Stegostoma tigrinum: one gene and its partners. The protein of the gene in region 1 purifies or fractionates together with the protein of each later gene. This does not show direct contact. Links are inferred from orthologs where the notes say so. Each region holds a gene or a part of one and is shown on either strand. Other genes may lie near its edges. The genes, in order: galectin-2-like, fibronectin-like and itga4.

Region 1 (8,012 bases):
GTTCTTTTGGTTTTTATTAAGAGTTAGGGATTTCCCCCTGGAGAGGGGTTATGTGATACCTATCAATATACTTGAGGCCTTTCCTGACTAATGGGCAATTCGGGTCCTCCTCCCACAATCAGTTTTGAATTTCGAGTTTAATTTGTGGAGTTGATTTTGTTCCTGTGTTCCTTTAAGAGACTGTTCCATAATAATTTTGTCTTACCTGGTTTCAGTTCTTATTTGGTTATTCAAAAGAATACAACAACATGACCGGGCTGAGAGTATAAGGTAATGGATTTGGAATCCATTGGGGTGATCCAGTGCAGGTTTGATTTCTGCTGACTATGCTTCTCATTGTTCTAACTTTAAACAAGTGCCTACAAACTTATAATCGCAGAAATGTTAAAGAAAGTCCTTCTAAGTAAGGGACTGTTCATTAGTTAATTAATCGTTTTTACTTTTCTCAAGAGAGTATAATGGAAAAATGATCTGTAGCTCAACAAGTAACACTCTTGCCATACATCGTAAGGTTCCAGCTTTTGAGGTTTGAGCATTGAAGTGAAAGCTGACAATCCAGTGTGAGACTGAGGGTGTGCCAAATGGTCAATGTCCTGTCCCGGCCCCATCTGCCTGTCCTGGTCAATGAAGAAGATCTCATAAAAATATAGGAAATAGGAGCAAGAATAGGCCAGTTGGACCCTTGAGCCTTAACTTCAACCAGCTCATGTCTGATCATCTACTCCAACGTAAATTTCCTGCACTATCTCCATATCCCTTGATAATTTAATATCTAAAATTTATCCAACTTTGTCTTGTCATTACTCAATATCTAAGCCTCAACACCTTTTAGAGAGCAGAATTCCAAAGATTCACAACCCTGAGTGAAGAAATTTGTCTTCTTCTCATTGTGAGATTGTGACCCAATTCTATATACGTCCTCCACTCCAGCTGGGCGAACATGCTTCCTGCATCTATCCTGACATGTCCTGTAGGTGTATGGTGCGTTTCAATGCGATCAACTCACAAACTTCAAAACTTTAGAGTGTACAGACCCAGTTTCCTCAATTTCTCCTCACAGGACAATTTTACCATCCCAGGAATCAGTCTGGTTAACCTTTGTTGTATTCTCTCTTCTGCTCCCATGTCTTATTGTCTAAGAAACACAGATGCAGTCTCCTCAATCTCTTCTGATAAAACAATCCCAGGAATTAATCTGGTGAATCTCCATTGCATTCCTTCTGCACCCCTCTTTTAATAAGGACACCTAAACTATCCATCCACACCCTGATGTATTGCAGCATTCCCCTAATAATTGTCAGAAACACATTCAATCTTACGTAATCACAATTTACAATCCACTACACCTCGATAGTAAGAACCCCATGTGATCTGATATACCAGAAGTTCATGTCTGATAAACCAGATGCCTCTTTAATATTCTTTGGTTGATGTGGGGTAAAGAAAGTGACCATATAGGATTCTGTTTCTCCCTCAGTTAACCCATTGTAGAACAAGAATTGTCATCAAGGAACTGATTCGTCTCACAAGAAGCTTTATTTATGGATAGCTTACAGAAGTTGCATTTCTCTAAATTAGACAAACATAATAAGCACACAGGTTACACAGAACAAAAAAGCCAAATTGACGATGCAAGTCATTCACTTTGACTGGAACAGACTCAAAGAGGTTGGGTGAAGTCTTTGCTGCCTGAATGTTTATGTTTGGGTCCTTGTGCTGTATAATAGTAACATTTTTCTACATTGGGTAGTGAGTGTTACTCCCAGCTCAAGTATACAAAAGCCAGAGGCTGAGAAATATAGAAAAAAATAGGATTGGAGATAGATTTTTATTTAGTAATGGGTTTTGGAGAGAGGGCTGGAAAGTGGATTTGAGACTGAGATGAGATCAACCATGACTGTATTAAATGGAGCAGGCTCAAGAGACTGCATTGCCTACTCTTGGTCTGGTTCTTTGCTTAATGAACCATTCAGCCCTTCAAACCTGCTCTGCTAATCCATTCCATACATGGACCATCTTTAGCCTTTTCTAAAAGGGGGAATTGACACTAATAGGTCCATATGATCAGAACTAAGATTGCCCAAACTAATTTTACACAGCACCTTTGAGGCCAGCGGCAAGGGAAGACTTCATCTGAGAAATCTAGACTAAATTTGATTCTGTGGCTCTGGAAAGGAAAGCACAGGGTTGAACCATGTCTTCATCCATGAGGTTTGATATAGTTATAGAATCCCTACAGTGTGGAAACAGGCCCTTTGGCTAAACAAGTCCACACCGAACCTCAGAGCATGCCACCTCAACCCATCCCCCTATAACCCACCTAATCTACACCTCCCTGGAGACTATGGGCAACTTAGCATGGCCAGTCCACCTACCCTGCACATCTTTGGACTGTGGGAGTAAACCAGAGCACCTGGAGGAAACCCACACAGACATGGGGAGAAGGTGCAAACTACACACAGACAGTTGCCCAAGGCTGGAATCAAACCCAGGCCCTTGGCGCTGTGAGGCAGCAGTGCTAACCGCTGTGCTACTGTGCTGATCATTTCGTGGAGGCTGTCACTAGATCTGATCTTTTACAATTAGACACCTGACAGAAATGCATGTTTCCAACATTTACTACATTTTCAAATTTCCAGCACTCATGGGTTACTCTTTTTTTTGTGTGTGGGGGCTGGTGTGGTGTTGCGGACATTTGGGCCAAATAGCCTATATGTGCTCTTACGTTTTTATGTTCTTATGAAAAGAAAAATCAGCTAGTGTCTTCCCACTGGTGGCCACACCTTCAGCTGTTAGGGCTTAACCTCGAGAATTTGCTCCTTAAAACATCTCTTGTTGCCTTCCTTAAAAACAATCCCTTGGACTAACTTGTCTTAGTGTTTCATTGTTATTCATTGAAGGGATGTGAACAGCACCAGCATGCCAGGTATTTGTTGTGAATCCCTAACTGCCCTCAAAATACACATGCAGTCGATGTGGTGTCAGAACAGGCTTCCTGTAATAGATTGATGAAACAGAGACTAAACAGGCCTTTGCAGAAGGCACTTAAATGTCCTTGAGGCTCTTGATGTTACAGGTAGGTCTGGCCAGCTAATGTCAACAGATATCCCCCCTTGAAAGACATCAAAAGTGAACCGGAGGGAGTTTTTTTTTGCAAAAATCTACTTCATTCATGGTTACCACAATTTTGAAATTTACTTCAATTCTGAATTTATTTCATTAAATCTAAATTTCATCAGTGCAGTGAGATTTGAACTCACTTCTGGAACTCAGGCCCCTGGATCACTCCTGTGAATCTCTTTTTGATGTTTCAATGATATTCGAGGTCTGCATTTGAACAGGTATTAAGGAGATAATAGCGCAGAGAGGAATACTACAAAATTATTAATTAATAGTTCAATATTAAGCCAGTCCCTACTGACAATCAACAAAGGGCCCACAGACTAAATTCTGGTATTGTTGTTTATACATGGTTCAGCATAAACTAAGTTTTAATGAGGTTTAAGCTTTCCCGTCAGTGTTTCAATTCTTTCTTCACCAGTAAAGGAGAACAGGAATTTGTATAGCACCATTTATCTTCAGCACATCCGAATGCACCTTATAGTCAATGATGTACTTTTGTTTTGCTTAAGGGATATGGGCAGTAAATGGCAAAGCCATCATTTATTGCCCATCCCTAATGGGCTTCGATCTAAGCTTGCTAAGCTATTTGAGTCAACCACATTGCTGTGTGTCCAGAGTTACATATGGGCCAGACCAAGGATGATGTCAGATCTCCTCCCCCAGAGGACATCAGTGAACCAATTGATTTTTATAACAGAAAAACCAAAAGAATTGCAGATGCTGGAAAAGCTCAGCAGGTCTGGCAGCATCTGTGAAGGAAAAATCAAAGCTAAAATTTTGGGTCTGGCAACCCTTCCTCAGAACCTATGGTAGCTGGCAAAATGTTAGTCGAGAATCAGAAAATAGGAAGGCTGGTGGGGTAGGGAGTGAACAGTAGGATAAAGGATAGTGTCCAGAGATGGAGAGAAGAGCAATTGGATAGTCAATGGAGTTGATAACAAGACAACAAGGTGTAGAGCTGGATGAACAGAGCAGGCCAAGCAGCATCAGAGGAGCAGGACGGCTGACATTTTGGGCCCAAAACATCAGCCTTCCTGCTCCTCTGATGCTGCTTGGCCTGCTCTGTTCATCCAGCTCTACACCTTGTTATCTCAGATTCTCCAGCATCTGCAGTTTCTACTATCTCGGAGTTGATGATGATCTGGCTCAGAGGGTGAATAGCTGTTAATGGGGACTGTTAGTGACATACAGTCACTCTCCCATGTCCTCGCCCCCTACCCTACACACCAGGCCTTGTTGTTACAGCCTGCCATTACACACTATTTAACAGTCACTAAAACCAAAAACGTCAACTTTCCTGCTCCTTTGATGCTGCCTGGCCTGCTGTGTTCCTCCAGTTCCACACTGTGTTATCTCTTGTAAATGTATTACTGTTATAAATCATTTACAAGTGGGCTTAAAACTGATACGCAACTTGATCAATGATTAACATGCTTTACCTCATATATATATATATATATATATATATATATATACACACACATATGCGCACAGTTCTGCTCTCATTTCTCTCTTCACAAGACTGTGACCACTTCCCTTGCATACTCAAACTTCCTCTTTATACACACGAAGATGTCGGTGAGTAGAGTATATGGACTATAAAGTTGTTTATCCTTTTGTATTTGTGTTTAACCAGGTAAAGGGACCAAGGCCCTTTTCAGTAAGGTACTGCCAAATTCTGAAAAAGTTTAAAGGGACTGTACTCAAGTAAAGGTCATGTCTCACTTGAAATGCCATAAATTCTAATAACTCGCTGATTTCATTACTTGGAAGTGCTGTTTCATTTATAATTTGACTCTCCTGGGATGCAGAACTAATGTCAGCTACATTAATTCATACAAGCAAGACCATAATTTTTTGCAGGAGTACAAACGTAATGTAAGGAGGATAAAATTAGGTGACAATATGGGAAGTCTGAGTGCCAATAAGATTGAGGCATTTAAATGGATTCAAGCTACTTGAAGAGTTGCATCTAATTCTTGGCACTGCTCTTTCGGAAGAGGTGAAAGTTTTGCAAAGGACACACTGTCTCTGGAAAAGATTTATTTGGATTGAGGGATTACAATGACACGGACAAAATGAAGAAGCTGGCTTGGTTTCTTGGAACAGAGAAGGAAAAGAGGAAAATGTATTCAAGTGCTTAAAATCACATTGAACAAAATTGACTGTTACTGGAGAAGCAGAAAAGGTTTGAAGGATATGGGGAAAGAGAGGAAAAGTAGAACTCATCTGTACGCTGCTTGAAATTGCTAGCACAGGCTTGATGGGATAAGTGACCTCCTCTGTGTTGTACTATTTTATGATTCGACAAGTTTGGTATGGAAAATTTATTTCTTCCATCTGGGTCATTCAATAGTGAGGTGACTAATCTTAAAATTTGAATTTTTCCTCCTCTGAGTTAAATTGGGCACTTTTCCACATCAAGGTGTGTGGAATCTTTCAAAAAGACTGTGATTGTTGAGGGGGATAATTGAAGTTTCAAGCCTGAGAATAGCCATGCCCTTGTTGGTCAAGGAAATCAAGAGTCATGGAACTGCAAGATCAGATGAGGTGCAGATCAGCTGTAATTCAGAATACAGGATGCTTAAAAGTCAGAGATATCAATATAAAGCGATTTCATTCTTGCTGTTAAGATTTTGTTACTTGTCTTTCCGGGAAGAAACAACTTGTTCTACACTTTCCCCAGAGCCATGTCGTTTCGGTGTCTTAATTACTTTGCACCTCGGGCAGAGGACTAATTTTCTCTCTCCCTTTTAATTCTTAATTTATACCCATTTTAAATCTTTCTTTTTTCCATTATTAACACCCTTTTGTTGTTTGCACTGGGTCCTGATTCCATCTGCCTTCTTGTTCCCCCTCTGAATCTGTCAAAAGTATAAAAACATTTTTTTCAACACCTTTCAGTTCTGAAGAGTCATACTGGACTCAAAACTTTAACTGTTTCTCTCCCCCCACAGATGCTGCCAGACTTGCTGAGTTTCTCCAGAATTTTTGAAGTTTGTTTCAGATTTCCAGCATCCCCAGTATTTTGCCTTTATTCAAGTGTTTATTGGATCAACTCTCATGGGTTGCGGTATTGACTGTTCTTAGTTCCACTGTCTAATCTCCATCATTAGTAGCCATGCCTTCAGCTGCTGGGCCCTAAGTTCTTGAATTATCTCCTTAAACATCTCTGCCTCTTTATCGCAATTTCTTCCTTTAAGACATTCCTCAAAACCTACCTTTGACCCCCAAGCTTGAATGATCTCCTTATGCAGCTCAATGCCAAAAGTTTGTTTCAGAATGTTCCTGCGATGTGCTGTACATTCCCTCTCATGTTAACAACATAGTATAATGAAAAGTCATTGTTTTTATTCCCACTGCTCTCACCCAACACTTTTGAGGATAATTGTTGGCCGTTTTCTATCAATTGATTCTACACTGGGGTCGTAAAATAGCCTGCAGTGCATCGAGCAGTGCACATACCATAAGACCATAAGACATAGGAATGGAAGTAAGGCCATTTGGCCCATCAGGTCCACTCCGCCATTTAAATCATGGCTGATAGGCATTTCAACTCCACTTCCCTGCACTCTCTCTGTAGCCCTTGATTCCTTCTGAGATCAAGAATTTGTCGATCTCTGCCTTGAAGGCATCCAATGTCCCGGCCTCCACTGCACTCTGCGGCAATGAATTCCACAAGCCCACCACTCTCTGACTGAAGAAGTGTTGTCTCATTTCAGTTCTAAATTTATCCCCTCTAATTTTAAGGCTGTGCCCACGGGCCTAGTCTCCCCGCCTAACAGAAACAACTTCCTAGCGTCCATCCCTTCTAAGCCATACATTATCTTGTAAGTTTCTATTAGATCTCCCCTCAACCTTCTAAACTCTAATGAGTACAATCCCAGGATCCTTAGCCGTTCACCATACATTAAACCTACCACTCCAGGGATCATCCGTGTGAATCTCCGCTGGACACACTCCAGGGCCAGTATGTCCTTCCTGAGGTGTGGGGCCCAAAATTGGACACAGTATTCTAAATGGGGCCTAACTAGAGCTTTATAAAGTCTCAGAAGCACATCGCTGCTTTTATATTCCAACCCTCTTGATATAAGTGACAACATTACATTCGCTTTCTTAATCACGGACGCTACCTGCAAGTTAACCTTGAGAGAATCCTGGACCAACACTCCTAGATCCCTTTTTACTTCTGCTTTGCGAATTTTCTCACCATTTAGAAAATAGTCCATGCCTGTATTCTTTCTTCCAAAGTGCAAAACCTCACATTTACTCACATTGAATATCATCAGCCATTTCCTGGACCACTCTCCTAAACTGTCTAAATCTTTCTGCAGCTTCCCCACCTCCTCAGTTCCACCTATCTTCGTATCATCGGCAAACTTCACCAGAATGCCCCCAGTCTCTTCATCCAAATCATTAATATACAAGGTGAACAGCTGTGGCCCCAACGCTGAACACTGCGGGACACCACTCGTCACAGGTTGCATTCTGAAAAAGAGCCTTTTATCCCAACTCTCTGCCTTCTGTCAGACAGCCAATCCTCAGTCCAAGCCAGTAGCTCACCTCGAACACCATGGGCCCTCACCTTGCTCAGCAGCCTCCCGTGAGGCACCGTATCAAAGGCCTTTTGGACGTCTAGATAGATAACATCTACTGGGTTTCCCTGGTCTAACATACTTGTTACCTCTTCAAAGAATTCTAACAGGTTTGTCAGGCACGACCTCTCCTTACTAAATCCATGCTGACTTGTTCTAATCTGATCCTGCACTTCCAGGAATTTAGAAATCTCATTCTTGACAATGGATTCAAGAATTTTACCAACTACCGAGGTTCGGGTAATCGGCCTATAATTTTCTATCTTTTGCCTTGATCCTTTCTTAAACAAGGGG
Region 2 (8,602 bases), on another chromosome or scaffold:
TTAGTTTTTCATGATTTGTGCACAAGGATTCACAAATGCCTCTGTGCTACAGATTTTGCAGTATATTTCCATTTAAACAACATTCAACTCCTCCATTTTCCTGCCAAAGTGCATAACCTCACATTTTCCAACATTATATACCATCTGCCAAGTATTTGGCGCCTCACTTAATCTGTCCATGTTCCTCTGTAGACTCTTTGTGTCATTTCCCACTTTCCTTGTCACTCATTTTTGTCTCATCCGCAAACCTGGCATCAGTACAATCCCTTCCATCATTAACATTATATGTAAATAATTGTGGCCCCAGCACCGATCCCTGGGGCACTCCACCAATTATGGGTTACCCCCCTAAAAATGACCTCTTTATTGCAACTCTGTCTTCTATTAGTTAGCGGATCCTCTATCCATGCCAATATACTGCCTCCAACTCCACGGTTCCTTACCTCATGAAGTTAACTTAAATGTAGTACTTTACCGAACAACTTTTGGAAATCTAAATATTTTACATCCACTGCTTTCCTTTATCCATCCTGCTTTGAGTAACAGATTCTGATGATTTTGCAGGCGTGACTTCCCCTTCATGAAGTCACGCTAACTCTGCTGTGCATTTCTAAATGCGGTGCCTTTGCATTCTTTATGATGGGTTCTAATACATTTTTTCCTCAGACCAGAAACGTTAAGCTAAATGGCCTATCGCTGACAGAAACCAAAATAACTGTGGAAGTTGTAAATCAGAAACAAAAACTGAAATTGCTGGAAAAGCTCAGCAGATCTGGCAGCATCTGTGAAGAGGAATCACAGTTAACGCTTCGGGACGAGTGACCCTTCCTCAGAACAGCCCTCTAATTGCCTGCTTATTTGTCTCCTACCTTTTTGAGTAAGGGTGTTACGTTGGCTGTTTTCCAGTCTTTCAGTATTTTTCCACAATCTAACAATTTTTCAAACATTACTCCCTGTGAAAAGGACAAACTCTGTAGACTTCTGAAGACGGGTCTAGACCCGAAACATCAGCTTTCCTGCTCCTCTGATGCTGCTTGGCTTGCTGTGTTCATCCAGCTCCACACCTTGTTATCTCACCGTCTCTGCAGTTACCTTCTTTGACATCCAGCACGTATCCCATCAGAATCAAGAGACTTATTGCCTTTGGGCCCATAAGATTCCCCAGTACATTTTTCCTCCAGTGATAGTCATTTAATCCACAATCTCCACCCACTTCCCCAGTTCCTTCATTATTTAGCATTTTTTGGAATGCTATTAGTGTCATCCACCATCCCCATGTTATAAGGAGGATCTTGAGGCACTAGAGAAAATGCAAACAAGTGCTTCTAGAACTGCTGTGGGGTGGCACGTTGGTTCAGTGGTTAGCATTGCTGCCTCACAGCGCCAGGGACCCGGGTTTGGTCCCAGCCTCGGGCAACTGTCTGTGTGGCGTTTGCACATTCTCCCCGTTTCTGCGCGAGTTTCCTTTGGGTGCTCCGTTTTCCTCCCGCAGTCACAAAGATCTGCAGGTTAGGTGGATTGGCCATGCTAAATTGCCCCATAGTGTCCAGGGATGTGCAGGCAAGGCGGATTAGTAATGGGAAATGCAGGGTTACAGTGGTAGGGCTGGGTCTGGGAGGCACGCACTCCAGAGGGTTGGTGTGGACTCGATGGGCCAAACAGCCTGATTCTAACCAACAAGCCATATGCCTCAGGGAAGGTTTCGAGGCTGGAGCTGGTCTCCTGTAGAGGAGGGGTGGCCTGTCTGTGAATAGGAATGATATGGGAAAGACATTGTCCTTTGTGGTAAGTTTAAATATAGGGCTCACAAATATGAGTCATTAATTAGACAGTGATTCATTCAGAGAACATGGGAACCATGGCCATAGGGACTGGCTGAGGTGAACAGCATTTTTGGGGTACACTGATGTATTTTGAAGCAGTTGTTACGATACACCTCTGGAACAGGCAGGATCTGAAACAAAAACAGAAATTGCTGGAAAAGCTGAGGTCTGGCCGCACCTGCAGAGGGAAATCAGAGTTAACATTTAGGTTGAGTGATCTTTCCTTGGGATCTGAACCTGGGTCCCCTAGTCCTGAGGAAGGGACACCATTACTGTGCCAAAGTAGAGCACACATCACATTTAGGAAGAGAGACAGAAGACTTAGAATCGTGGCGTCATTGAGTCATACAGCACGGAAACAGACCCTTCGGCCCAACAAATCCACGCTGACCACAATCCCAAACTAAACTAGTCCCACCTGTCTGCTCTGGCCCACTTTCCTCCAAACCTTTCCTATTCACGTTCTAATCCAAATGCCTTTTAAACATTGTAACCGTGCCCACATCCACCACTTCCTCAGGAAGTTCATTCCACACGCGAACCACCCTCTGTGTAAAAAAATTGCCCCTCAAAAGTCTTTTTTAAATCTCTCTCCTGTCACCTTAAAAATGTGGCCCCTAATCCTGAAATCCCCCATCCTAGGGAAAACACAACTACCATTGACTCTCCCTGTGTCCCTCATTGCTTTATAAACGTTCATAAGGTCGCCTCTCAACCCCCTATGCTCCAGTGAGAGGGAGATTTTATAGAATGTTAAAAGAACAGCTGCGGTTGAATGGTGTCTAAGCACTAGGTGCCGGCCTCTGCACTTTTTGGCGATGTAGCAGTGTGGTTTGGTAGTCTGTCTTTGAGCGAAATACCGATGGTGCTGAGTTATGGTCATATTACTGAGGAGAGTGCGAGATTAAAACAGGGTTAACCTGGGCTTCCAAGGGTCCGGTTGCCCTCTCTGAGTGACTCAGCGACCGATTAAAGCATGCCTTTGCTAAGTTATGTTAAAATGGGTGTTAAGAGAGACGGGATGAGTTTCTTGTCACGAAATGCACATTGATAAGCACGGATCCCCTTTTGTTCCGGGGTTGGGGTGGTGACTGTGGATAGTTAGTTTTGCAGAGAATGGTGTCTTGTGGGCCGGAGGGCAGCCTCACTGAATATGTCCAAGCCCGACAGGGAATCACCACTCAATATACTTCGGCAATCCGTCTTGTCCCCGGCTTAATGGTTAAACAAGGCGGCGTCCCCCTTCTTATCTGGAGTTCCTGGCCGACATACTGAAGCACTGACGCTTCGTCCTTCAAACATGAATCATACACTTAACACAAAATCAGAAGCTCTGCTCCCCGAGGCATTTTACTTAATTTGAAGTGCAGGAACCTTACATTGTTTTTGGACGTCCCTTCCCAAATTCAAACGTAGAATAATAATGAAATTCGACAGAGCCTCACTTAAAGAGGCGTTTGATTTTAAGGGTTTGGTTTACTTTTTTTCTTAGCAGCTCTTGCCGTCTCAACTTTTTTTTCAAAAAATTATTTCCCCCGAGTCTCTCTCAGCCTTCACATTAGGAGCAACCCCGAACTCTTCCACAGATGCTGGCCAAACCTGCTGAGTTTCTCCAGCAAGGTTTTGTTTCAGATTCTCCAGCGTGCTCAGTCCTTTTGTGACTGTTGTGGCATCGTCCTATCATTGGTAACACACTGATTTTTGTCTTTAAGGAAAAAGGTACACTTTGCACATTCAGTTCGTAGGAAATCTCACTGAAATCGATTTAACTCTTTGTTCCTCCCTGCACAGACCTAGTGAGTACCCCGGCAGTTTCCGGTTTCATTACAGATACCCCAAACATGCTGCTGTAAATTTGCACCTTTCGGGAGGATGCGAGTACTTTACAAACAATGGAACACTTTCGAGGTGGAAATTTGTAACATTTCATTTTCTACCAGGTTGCGCCTGGGTCAGTGCAGAGTTTAGAGCGGGTGAGAGACCCAGTGTAAGAGGGAGCATTGTGAGAAGACAAGTCTTGGAACGGCAAGAAAAAAGAATGCAGGAAATAGGGAAGGCTACAAGGGAAACCGACATGTTTCAAATTGGGATGACCTTTAAGGGTCAGGTCATCAATCTTATACATTGACTGTATCTCTCCACAGATGCTGCCTGACCTTCTGCGTTCTGCTTCGCAATTTTTTGTTTGCTTTTTCCTACATCGTCCCTGGTATTTCACCTTTGTTTTCGAAAAAAAACAAAAAAAATTCTCCCGCGTTGTGCGCATCGAAAGCAACTGCAAAAGCGACGTTTCTAACGCCCACGTTTTAAATAAAATAAACACTGCAAACGCTCGGAGAACGAGTTCAAAGATGCAATGTCTGGCTCACACTTCCTAGGAGCGAGTGTTTATTGCACATACGCGGCGGGAAGGTTGTCATTCGGTTATGATTGAATACCAAGTCTGTCTCATTTTATGTCTGTATACCCCCTCCCCCCAACCTCCTTTGTCTCCGAATCCCCACCTCCACCTTTTTTTACAGAAGACCAAGTTCATGTAAAATTCACACAAGGGTTTTTTTTAAAAATCAGCTTAGCAAGTCATATTTGGACAAATCTGTACCTCGTTTTTGGATTCAGTGAAGACAATGTTTGCAGATCTCGTGGAGGATTTGTGTGTGTGTGTGTGTGTGTGTGTGTCGGGGGATGGGGGGAGGGCGGATGACTTTAGAGATGTTTAGGTATTAACTCAAACATCCCTTCGTCTTGTTGAGGACTTAATTCGCCGCCTCGATCACCCATTGACATTCAGACTCTCACTTCGCCTCAGATTTGCTGCCCCTCCAGCTGGTAAAAGGAGCCTAGATTAGGTGTACCTTTCTTTCCAAAATAAACAAATTAAAAGACTTCCAATCCTTCCCAGCAGTGATTTGTCAAGTTACAGTTCAGTAAAATCACTCACAAGTAAACAGCTCGCAAGACAGAAGCTGAGCTCAGTTTAATCATGTGTTTTCCTTTGTTGCAAATGTACAGAGTATTTCAGTCTCAATTTCCCGTTTTTAAAGACGAGCGGTGACTCACTTTACAGAAAGACTACCGTGCCTTATGAGGGATGTCTGTTGTCTCATGCAGGCTGCCTCAGGGATGCAATGCCCCTTTAAGAGAGATGCCTGGTGTCTGATAAGTGTCTGAACTGGCTGTTTTTCACCCAAAGTCCTCAGTGATGTCAGAGGCAGACTTGTAAATATTATTGATGTAGCTTAAGTGAGACCCCTCCCCTTCCACAAACTTCCAAAGGTCCACCCATCCTGTCCGGGGGCTGTACAACGTTATAAAGAGGGCTGCAGAAGCAGGCACTCGCTCGCTCACTCACTGGCCAAAGGTGTGCTGAGAGGTTCTGTCTCCCTTTGGTCTGGTTTCTTCTGTCCTTGTCCCTTCCCTCCCCCCCCCACCCCCACGCCAAATTCTTTCTGGACCAGTCCCTCCACCCCCTCTCCTTTTCAACACGGTGGGGTAATTGTCAGGCATCTGGCTGTCTTCGGCGAGCTGTGAAAGGGCGAGGGGGAGCTGGTGCCTGGAAGATGCACCTCCCCATGCTCGGGGTCTTGTTCCTGGCCGTTTGTCTGAGTGCAGCCAGCGGTCAAGCAGGCAAAAAGAGAAGGCAAAGTCCGTACGATGCAAATACCCAGAATCAGAGTAAGTCTTCCAGAGGAAGAGAATCTTGTTGAAACTTTTAACATGCATTTTTCCCCTTACAGAATGTGTTCAAACTCTTTCTAGACCTGTGCTTTAGAACGTTCTGCCGGCACGTTGCTTCTGGTTCTGTCCTTTAATGACTAAATGATGTCCAGATGCTGATTCCGAGACTTAAACCAGGGGTGCATCGAGTTTTGCCGATGGAGCGAATGCAAATTTCGTGATCTCGTCGATAGTTTGGCCGTGTGGTTTATCAAAATAGCCTTCGAAAGAGCTAGTACAGGCAGTAGGGGCGGAATGTCTCCTGTGGTTCAATACTGTGTGTACATGAGGGCATATAATACATTCTGACCCCTTTCTGCCCTTTCTCTCTTTACGCCAACCACATTTTGAAGTTTCCATTGCAGATTTTAAGAACAAGGGCATGAAACGACCTTTCTCCCTCTCTCCACAGATGCCTCCTAACTACTGGGTGGTTCCACTATGCTTTCTCCTGCATCTGAGGCGTGTTGTGTTTTTTTAAAATGCTGCATCTTTCCAAAATTTGGGGTGTGAGGAAGAAAGACAAATGGTTTCTTTGTAATCTTCACCCCGCTAATCTGGGGAAGATGTGATTTTAAAAAAATACATTGTGTGAACCTTTTGATGCAAACATCCAAGGGGTCAGAATGCTGACTATTTAGTGGCTGTTCAGCAACAGAGGCCATCACATCCTGTCCCACTGCACTCACTGAAGGAGGGGAGTTCCGGGGTGGGGGAGGGGAACAGGATTAGGGAGTTTAGAAACCACTCCTATATGTTTCCTAAATTGGGGTGATTGTAGTTTATATCACTTTTTGCTTGAGGAGACTCCACAGGTTAAAACCAGCATCCATCCCGAGCTGCTTTTACATTAGAGTTTAATGTGTAAGCTGAGAATGTACCGAAGAATTCACCTACAGACCCATTCAGATGGGTGGATGGTCTGGTGGGATTTTTGTTGTGGGTTAGTTAGAAAGAGCTTTACCAGCTATTTTGAAGTTGTAGTTTAACTTAAGTAATTCCGAACGAGGTACAACCGCTTGGCTAGAAACCTGGAAGGGGTTCCTTGGAATTGTTGAATATTTAAGGCATAGAAAGAGACCATTTGATGCTTCGTGTCTAGATTGACACTTCATGAGAATGTCATTTAAATATGCCACTCTTGCCCCCTTTACCCTGTATTCTCTCACCTGCCTTCAGATAATGAGGTGGCTCAGTGGTTGGCGCTGCTGCCTCACAAAACCAGTGTGTTGGGTTCAGTTCTCACCCTTATGTGACTGTGTAGAGTTTACACATTTTCTCTGTGTCTGTGTAGGTTTCATCAGGGTGCTGTGGCTTCCTCCCACAGTCCAAAGATGTCCGAGTCAGGGGGAATGGCCTTGGGACATTGTCCAGGGCTGGACAGGCTAGGCAGATTAGCCATGGGAAATTCGGGTTTACAGAAATGGGATGGATCTGGGTGCGGTGCTCTTTTGAGGATTGGTGTGGACTTATTGGGCCAAATGGCCAGTCTCCACACAGTAGGGGATTCTGTGATAATGATCTAATGACCCACTTGAAAACCACAATTGAATCTGTCCCCAGTGCATTCTCAGGGGGAGCATTCCAGATCCTATTCACTTGCTGTGTGAAGGAAATTTCCCTTGCGCCGCCGTTGCTCCTTTTGCCATCCATCTAAAATCCGTGTCCTCTGATTCTCGATCTTTCAAACAGTCCCTGTCTGCTCGGTCCATATCCCTTGGGATTTTGAACACCTCGAACAGATCTTCCCTTAGCCTGCTCCAAGACTCCCAAGATGTTTGATCTCAGTGTCTCCATGTAACTGAAAGACTCTTTTTCTTTGAAACCATTTTTGTGAATCTTTTGCATTCTCTCTCATGCCTACGTGCTCATCAGGTCTGTCGGTATTTGTGAGGGGAAATAATATGATTTAACTCTAACACATTTTCCTTAAAATCAAACTGATTTTACAGTCTGGTTCTTTGATGGTTGCATCCTTTATAAGGAAAGAGTGCGAGTTGAAGCTGCATGTCAAGGTCCTGTTTGACGTGGGACTGAACGATGTAATCCTAATGGAAACTGGAAGATGCTTATTTATCAGAGCTGATGAGCTTATGCAAAAGCACAGCAGTCGAAGATACTGAAAATCTGAAGTAAAAGCAGATGATAGGAAAGGAATGGCTCCCATGGAGAGAGAAACAAGAGTTCGGGGTGAACTCCCCACAGCCATTGAGCCTCGTAATCTCAAGCCAGTGAAAATCATAATTCAGCTTGTGAGTGGCTGCATTTGGCAAGCAGTTGAGTTTTACTGGGATAGTAGGAACTGCCAATGCTGGAGAATCTGAGATAGCAAGGTGTAGAGCTGGATGAACGCCAGCAGGCCAAGCAGCATCAGAGGAGTAGGAAAGCTGATGTTTTGGGTCGAGATCCTTCTTCATAAAATTTTGCATGAGAGGAACAGGAAGGCTGGTGTTTTGGGTCGAGACCCTTCACGTCAGTTTTCCTGCTGCATGGCCTGCTGTGTTCATCCAGCTCTACACCTTGTTATCTGAGTTATACTGGGCCACTTTCTTGGGGTCGCTTTACTGCCTGCACTTTCTCGGCGCCTTTCTTGCTCTCAGAAGGTGAGTAAGTGCTCAGCAGGAGATCCGAGGGCCAAGAGGTGCATCTGCTGGGTTTACTTTGTGGAGACAAACAGGGCGATGCCACATCCTGTAAAATTAAGCTGCGTCATGCCAGTGAATGGGCTTGTGACTAATGTAATTGCCCCTGGGTCCTGAGTATTTCTTTGTTGGGAAAATGCAGCCTGTTATTTAAGAGTTAATGACCCTTCCCCAGAATTGATGACGAGCCTCTGAAATACCTATGATTAACTCTTGCTCTCTCTCTCTCTCTCCCCCTCCCCCTCCCCCCTCCCTTTCTCTCCCCCTCTCTCCCTCTCAAGATGACTTAGTGTTCCATGAGTTGAGGGTTCAGATTTGAGACATCTTTCCATCCACAGATGCTGAGTGATATTAGTCTTGCAATGCATCTAGTCTTTTGGGAACTATTTAATTGATGTGTGTGTGCTTTCTCTGTCTCTC
Region 3 (7,564 bases), on another chromosome or scaffold:
GATGTTGTCTGTATGGAGTTTAGCAATGCCTTTGATGTGGTCCTTCACAGCAGGCTGGTACAAAAGGCGAAGTCACATGGCATCTGCGGTCAGCTAGTAAGATGGCTACAGAACTGCTTGGTCACAGACGACAGACAGTAGCGGTGAAAGTGTGTTTATCTGAAAGCAGATCTGTGGCCAATGGTGTTCCACGGAGTTCACTACCGGGACCCCTGTTGTTAAGACGACATGAAGATCGGGGTGGGGAACTGTGGATTATGAAGAGGAAACACCAGAAGTCACAGCAGGATATAGACAGGCTGCAGAACTGCGTGGAGAAATGGCAGATAGAGTTTAATCTGGACAAATGCAAGGCGATCGCATTTCAAAAGATTTAATGCCAGAGGAAGTGAACAGTAAATGGCAGAACACTTAGAAGCACTGTACAAAGGGATCAAGGTGTACAGGTCCACAATTCCCTGAACTTGGCAACACAAGAGATTTTGGTGGCCAAAATGGGCACATGCTTACCTTTGTTGGTCTGAGCATAGAGTATAAAAAATGGCAAGTTGCAGGTCTACATAAGTTTTTAGATAGGACACATTTGGAATATTGTGTACAGTTTTGATCTCCGCAGTACTAGGAGGATGTGGAGGCTTTGGAAAGGCTACAAAAAGGTTTACCAGAATCATGTCTTGTTTGGAGGGTATTAGCTTTTGGGAGGGACTGGATAAACTTGGCTTGTTTTTACCTGAACAAAGGATGAGGGGGGTGACATGTTAAGAATTTACAAAATTATGTGAAGCATGGATAGTCAAAGTCTTTTTCCCAGGGTAGAAATGTCAATTACTAGGGGGCAAAAGTTTAAAGGTAACAGGAGGAAAGTTTAAAAAGAGATGTGAGAGATAAGTCTTTTTGAACACCGAGAGTGGTGAGTGCCTGGAATGCACTACCAGAGAAAGTAGTAGAAGCAGACACAACAATGTTTAAGATGCATTTTGACAGATACATGAATAGGCAGGAAATAGAGGGGATACGGACATTGTGGAGGCAAAAAGCTTTTTAGTTTACAAAGGCATCATGTGTCAGCGCAGGCTTAGTGGGCCAAAGGGCCAGTTCCTGTACTATTGTTTTTTGTTCTTTCATATACGCTTATCCAAGCGGGTGGATAGTATGTAATTACACCTTGGGACTTGTGTCCTGTAGCTCAGGGACAGACACCTGGGGAGTCAGGGGGTCAGTAACTTTCTGGAAGCCCATCAGGTTAACATCGATGGATTTTCCTCTTATCCACTTTGCTCATAACAGCTTTAAGAAATTCAAAGTATATTGGCCAACAAGTGTAATCCTTCATGAATCCATATGATTCTCCATGACCAGATTCTACTCGTCCAAGTACTTAGTCAATATCTTTGATTGTAGAGATCCAGTTTTGACCAAAAGAGAGTTAAAATGGAAATTCTGTAATTGCCTGTTTTTGCTCACTGTATAAAATTTTACAATCCAAAAGTACAATGCATCTATATTGGAAAATGTATGACTAGGACATCTGCCATTTGCACAACAATTAAATACTCTTGGTAGGAACCATCATCATTAGAAGCAGTTTGTTCACTCTCAAGTACCATTATTATCTCCATTACCTTTTGTTTTTGTAATTGAAAATTCAATCCAAATGCTTCACCTCAAACTAACTTTAGGTTCCTACACTATTGTCTTCAACCTCCACTGCACAAACAAAGTACTTAATATTGTTGATAATGGGAACTGCAGATGCTGGAGAATCCGAGATAACAAAGGGTGGAGCTGGATGAACACAGCAGGCTAAGCAGCATCCTAGGAGCAGAAAAGCTGATTTTTCGGGCCTAGACCCTTTATTAGATTAAAAAAACTTCATATATTGGTGCACCTTTACCTGGCTAAAATACGTAGCCAGAATACTGCAGGGTCATTGGAGGGATCAATAAATTCAGAAAGAAAGTTCTATTCAAATCAGATCAATCATTCAGAATCTCAATAAGAAACTGATCCTCACCACTCTGCAATGTACCCTATCAAAGCCAACAAAAAGCATGAATTGTGGAAATAAATAATAATTTAGTGGGGATGGAGACAGAACACCGGTGCTCTACACAACACTGTTGAGATTAGTGAGAGATGATAGAGCTTGGAGATGCAAAATGATCTGCAGGTCCCAGTGTGTTAACTGAAAAAGGGTAACATGCAAGTATAGTACATAATTTGTAAAGCTTACAGTATGTTCTTGTTTCTTGTGAGGGCAATGGATTAGAAAGATTGTGTTTCAGTTGTACAGGAGCACTCATGAGATCGCATGTGGATACAATGTACGGTATTGGCCTCTTCAGTGAAGGAAGAATGTAAATGTAAATGGGATCAGTTCAGAGAAGGTTTACCAATCTAAGACCTCCTATGAGCAGGAAACATTGAGCTGGTGTAAAGACTATTTTCTTTTGGTTTGGTGATTGCGGGGGTAGTGAGACAGGTTATGGCAAATGCAGGCAATTAAGTAGAGATGATTCAGGAGGGGAGGAAAGCTGAGATGGTTTAGATGGATTGGGGAAGTTGGTTGGGTAAGATGGGTCAGGTCAGATTTGGGAGGGATCAGTTGTAGATATTTTCAAGAAGTAGCGACAACATCACTGCTGCACAAAAGGTTTGCTGCTACAGAATTCTTGGGCTTTCAAGAAGACAGAACTTTTTCTTCAACATATCCAGTGGCTGACATCAAAAAACTGTGAGCTTTTCCTTTTACTTTTACAATTCATACAGAAACTGAATAATGCTGTCTTTGCAACTAACCTAAATGCAGTTCTTCGCAAGTTTGATTCGCATTGCGGTCGATTCGGCATTTGTAAATAATTCCGGGGTTTACTGTACCACCAAAGGATGCATTTGCTTTCGGAGCACCAACAACAAACCTGTGGTAGCAAAAGGAATAATAATTTAGAACCACATTAAAAGAAAACATTGGCTAGAACAGTCTCTGCGTGTGACAATGGCAAAAATCACTGAGTAGTTTCAAAACTTCTGACACATAAAACGCATCCCTTTGTCATTTATTTCTGGGATATACCTGAAAGAAACCAACCCCATTTTAACCATTCGAAACACGGTCTTAATCACCAAAATTTTATTGATTTCAGTAGATAATTTCCAAAAATAATGCCGTTGGCACTGTTTTAAAGAAGTTTAGTGTTGTGCTTTTTTTTAAGCTTGCCACGTGCAAATTAAATTAGAAGAATGCGATATGACCTGCTTCGATTAAAACTAAACTGAACGAAAACTTACCACTTTTCGTCTTTGTAGCTGTGTAATAGTACCGAATATCCAAACAGTGTCCCTGAAGGTCCTTTAACTAGGACAGGGTTTTCCGTATCGAGGTTGTAAGGTGTCACCGTCCGGAATTCACAGCACAGAAGCAAGAGCATCCAGAAACCACACCAGTCAAACCCCCACGCAAACCTTTGCCGTCGCATTTTCTTTTCAGTTTGAGTTGCACTGCGAGACTAAAACATGCGGGAGTTCTATTCCCTAACTTGAATCTTACTCCGAAACCTGAACGCAACATCTGCACTAAACTACTAAGCACCGCCCATCCGCTGATAGCTGGGACTCGGGTTCAAACCCCTGCGGGCAGTGCCAAATTTCTGCGGTGGGGGGCGCTGTTGACCTCCTGGGCCAGAGTCAAGAGCAGGGTGAGCTGGTCAACTACACTCATATCCAACTGTTTCAGGCGCTAAAGCAGATCTATCTTCAGATGACAACAGTTGTCAAAATCGCATTTACCCTTTCATATTAATTACTTTTTTAAATTTCAAAACATTCAATGTAGGAGTACCTTGGGAATATGGTGTACAACCTGATGGATTGTGGTGAGGAATATACCGAGAAAAATAATCACATTTGAAAAGCCACAAGCGAATCTACGGTTGCCAACAGTGATTAAATATTTTCCTGGGGATTTCCTCACATGCCTTGAGCCCATGCTCCAATTGTTAATTGCCCAAAACATTCACGCTTATGACACACTAGCTACCTAAGCATATTGGAAAGGAAAGGAGCTTACCCATTAGGGTCATGCTTGACTGCGAATAAAACAATACATTTCCCCCAACCCCCACTGATTTTCAATATTTTTATAACTGGCAAACCAAGAAAATTACAGGAACAAAAACAAAGCTGCTGGAAAAGCTCAGCAGGTCTGGCAGCATCTGTGGAGGAGAAAACAGAGTTACCGTTTCAGGTCCAGTGACCCTTCCTCAGAACTGATGGTGGCTGGGAAAACGTCAGTTTATATGCAGAAAATAGGGAGGTGAGTAGGGTAGGGAGTAAACGATAGGATAGAGCCCAAAGAGAGAGAAAGACAGTTGGACAGACCAAGGAGTTGTTAACAATCAGGCTGGGAGGGTGAATAGTTGTTAATGGGGACTGTTAGTGACTAACAACAGGGGGTGTGTAATGGCAGGTTATGTGGTAACAAGGCCTGGTGGGTGGGGTTGGGGGCTGGGACATGGGAGAGCTTAGGCCCTAAAATTATTGAACTCAGTATTGAGTCTGGAGGCCTGTAGGGTCCCCAAGCAGACAATGAGGTGTTGTTCCTCCAGCTTGCGTTGGGCTTCACTGGAACATTGTAGCAAGCCAGGGATAGAGATGTTGACCAGGGAGCAGGGTGGCGCATTGAAGTGACAGGCAACAGGTAGTTCAGGGTCTGTTTTGCAAATAGAAGATAGATGTTCTGCAAAGTGGCTGCCAAGTCTCTGTTTCGTTTCCCCAATATAGAGGAGACCACATTGTGAGCGGCAAATGCAGTAAACCAGATTCTTGGAAGTGCAGGAGAAGTGTTGAAAGGTATGTTTGGGCTCTTGGATACTGGGGAGGGCGGAGGTAAATGGGCAGGTGTAGCACCTTCGCTGGTTACAGGGGAAGGTGCCGTAGGGCTGTGGGGAGGTGTTGGGGGTGAAGGAAGCGTGGACCAGGGTGCCCCTGAGGGAACGGTCCCTGCGGAAGGCAGACAAGGGAGGGGAGGGGAATATGTATCTGGTGGTGGCATCTTGCTAGAGGTGGCAGTAAGGGCATCTGATAATCTTCTGGATTTGGATGCCAGTGAGATTGTGGGTGATTTGGTTTTTTGGTTTTCAAAGTTTTTTTTGTGATGTCCCTGTGACTTTTCTCCAGTGTTGCAAGCAGCAGAAAGCTGAAGATTGATCCTCAATTCTTGGAGATTCCAAGCTAATCCTGGAGGGATGGTAAACCAGTTTGGAATTATTGAAGGCAACTCGTGCCTGATTAACCTTGAGAGTCAGTGAACAAAATTTTTCCAGCCATGGTGAGGTGGGATGAGTAGCTAGTGCAAGCATTTAATTGAGCGCAAGTCATATATTCAGATTCCCAATGACAATATTAAGCCTTTGATCACGGGTTCATAGTCTCTCCCTCAGATGGCAACAAGCTAATTTCCTTGTATTTATAGCTCATTAATTCCCCAACCCTCAAAATTAACCACTGAACCACAGAGAAGTTATAGCACAGAAAGGACCCATTCGGGTCCACCATGCTGCACAATTGAATAAACCAGCCACTTATTCTCATCCCACTTTTCAATGTCTGCTCTGCAGCCTGGTAGGTTCACAAGGTTTCAGACACAGATCCAGGTTCCTTTCAAATATTTGGGGAGATCTGCATCAACCACCAAACTAGGCTGTGAGTTCTAGACAAATACCACCCGCTTGGTGAAAATGTTTGTCTTCACGTCCCGTCTAATTCTTTGACTAATCGTCTTAAATCCATGCCTCCTTGCAATTGGCCTCTCTGTTAGAAGGAACAGGTCTTCCCTGTCCACTCTGTCCTCATACCTCAATATTTTGTTCACATCAATGAAGGTAACCTTTTCCGTTATAAGGAAAACAACTCTAGCCGATCCAATCTTTCCTCATACCTGCAATTCTCATGCCCTGGGACCATCTTGTAAATCTGATCTGTACTCTCTCCTTCCTGTAATGTGGTACCAGAATGGTACACAAAACTATAGCTGTGTCCTACTCAGTTTCTTATTAAATTCTTGCAGTGCATCACTGCTTTTGTATTCAATATCTCACCTACTGAGGAATAGTGTCCCATGCGTTCTCTTCATCCCGTGACCAATCTGATCTGTCACCTTCAGGGGCCAATGAAAATGCACTCCTAATTCTCTCATTCCTCCACTCCTCTCAATACCCTCTCAATCATTGTGTATTCCCTTTCTTTGTTTGCCCTCTCCAAATATAAAGTATGCAAGAAATGGCCTGGGTTATGGAAATAACATTGTTTGGTGGCAAGGTAGGTACCCTTCATGGGGTGTTTTACTGGCAGAAGTCTATTCCCACTGGAGCAGAGACACTCCTTGGTTGCCCATCATTCAGTTGGATAAGGTCACAGACCTTGGAACATCTTACTCAGGCTTCCATGCCACACTATGTGAGGGCATAGCATTCAGCTGGATTTTTAAGGACATGAGTGCTTAAACATGTTCCTTCAATAACACTGTGTCATCTTTCTGACTTTCCCCACAGCTTATCTGCTGATGGAGCTGAAATGTCCAAGACCTTGCCTGTCTTCCTGGTGACCTGGCTGTTACTCAGAAGAAACTGGAGGTGGACTTGCACTCACAAGGGCTGAATGGCAACCTCCCATCCTGGAGACCACTAAATTCACAGCTTCCCTTTGATTTGTTTGTTAGCGATTCATTTCATGAAGCATCAGCTGAAGTCTGTAGAGTCAAAATTTACCATTCTGCCTTCATCAATCTCCTTTGCTACCTCTTCAAAAACACTCAATCAGATTAGTGAGACACAATTTCCCATGCACAAAACCGTCTTGGCCATGCCTGAATAGTCCTTGCCTTTCCAAGTGTATGTAAATCTTGTTACTGATGCCACTTTTACCAGAGCCTACTTCTTCATATTCTTCCCCTTGATGATGATAGAGAAATTGCTACAGCACGGGCATGTTCCAGCATTTCTGGCTTCCCCTGGGTAAAAGCTACCATCAATTGCACCCAGGTAGTTTTGACTGTCCTATCACCATTTTGGGGTATTTGTGAACAAGAAACAATTCTTTTCACTTAAGGAATTGTGACCAACTGAGCCACTTCTCAGAGGTCTGCACGAGATACCCCGGGAACTGTGCGACGCTTATATAAGAGAGGGCTCACAGGTTCCTTTCTCTTCCATGTACACATAAAATTAAAGTGCATGGGATTGGAGAGAGAAATGTTATCAAACAGAAAGAAGCTATGTAGCCCATCATGTCTGTATCAATTGAACAAAGTAGCCACCCTCTTTCATAGCAAGAGGATTTGGTTACAGGAGCAGGGATGTCACTGTTGTGCAGCTTTGGTCTCTATCTGTGGAAATATGTCCTGGCTATGGAGGGAGTGTATCAGACTGATTCCTGGGATGGTAGGATTGATGTATGAAGGAAGAGATCAGTTAGGATTATATCTACTGGAGTTTAGAAGAATGAGGAGGGAACTCACAGCAACCTGTATGTTTCTAACAAGTCTCGACAGGTTAAATATAGGAACCAT

What was found.
Region 2: the proteins of galectin-2-like (region 1) and fibronectin-like purify together in Homo sapiens (affinity purification with mass spectrometry; 3 studies listed by BioGRID and IntAct, with this or other methods). This does not show direct contact. The link is inferred for Stegostoma tigrinum from reciprocal best matches to the Homo sapiens genes LGALS1 and FN1.
Region 3: the proteins of galectin-2-like (region 1) and itga4 purify together in Homo sapiens (affinity purification with mass spectrometry; 3 studies listed by BioGRID and IntAct, with this or other methods). This does not show direct contact. The link is inferred for Stegostoma tigrinum from reciprocal best matches to the Homo sapiens genes LGALS1 and ITGA4.

Annotation. Positions count from the first base shown.
Region 1 is NC_081391.1:12,805,211-12,813,222, reverse strand, and holds the start of galectin-2-like, read left to right. Parts: upstream 1-4,582; 5' UTR 4,583-4,695; coding exon 4,696-4,701; intron 4,702-8,012. UniProt on the Homo sapiens protein: Lectin that binds beta-galactoside and a wide array of complex carbohydrates. Plays a role in regulating apoptosis, cell proliferation and cell differentiation. Inhibits CD45 protein phosphatase activity and therefore the dephosphorylation of Lyn kinase.
Region 2 is NC_081360.1:11,864,054-11,872,655, reverse strand, and holds the start of fibronectin-like, read left to right. Parts: upstream 1-5,158; 5' UTR 5,159-5,383; coding exon 5,384-5,498; intron 5,499-8,602. UniProt on the Homo sapiens protein: Fibronectins bind cell surfaces and various compounds including collagen, fibrin, heparin, DNA, and actin. Fibronectins are involved in cell adhesion, cell motility, opsonization, wound healing, and maintenance of cell shape.
Region 3 is NC_081360.1:42,646,449-42,654,012, forward strand, and holds the start of itga4 (integrin alpha-4), read right to left. Parts: upstream 3,584-7,564; 5' UTR 3,477-3,583; coding exon 3,289-3,476; intron 2,919-3,288; coding exon 2,800-2,918; intron 1-2,799. UniProt on the Homo sapiens protein: Integrins alpha-4/beta-1 (VLA-4) and alpha-4/beta-7 are receptors for fibronectin. They recognize one or more domains within the alternatively spliced CS-1 and CS-5 regions of fibronectin. They are also receptors for VCAM1.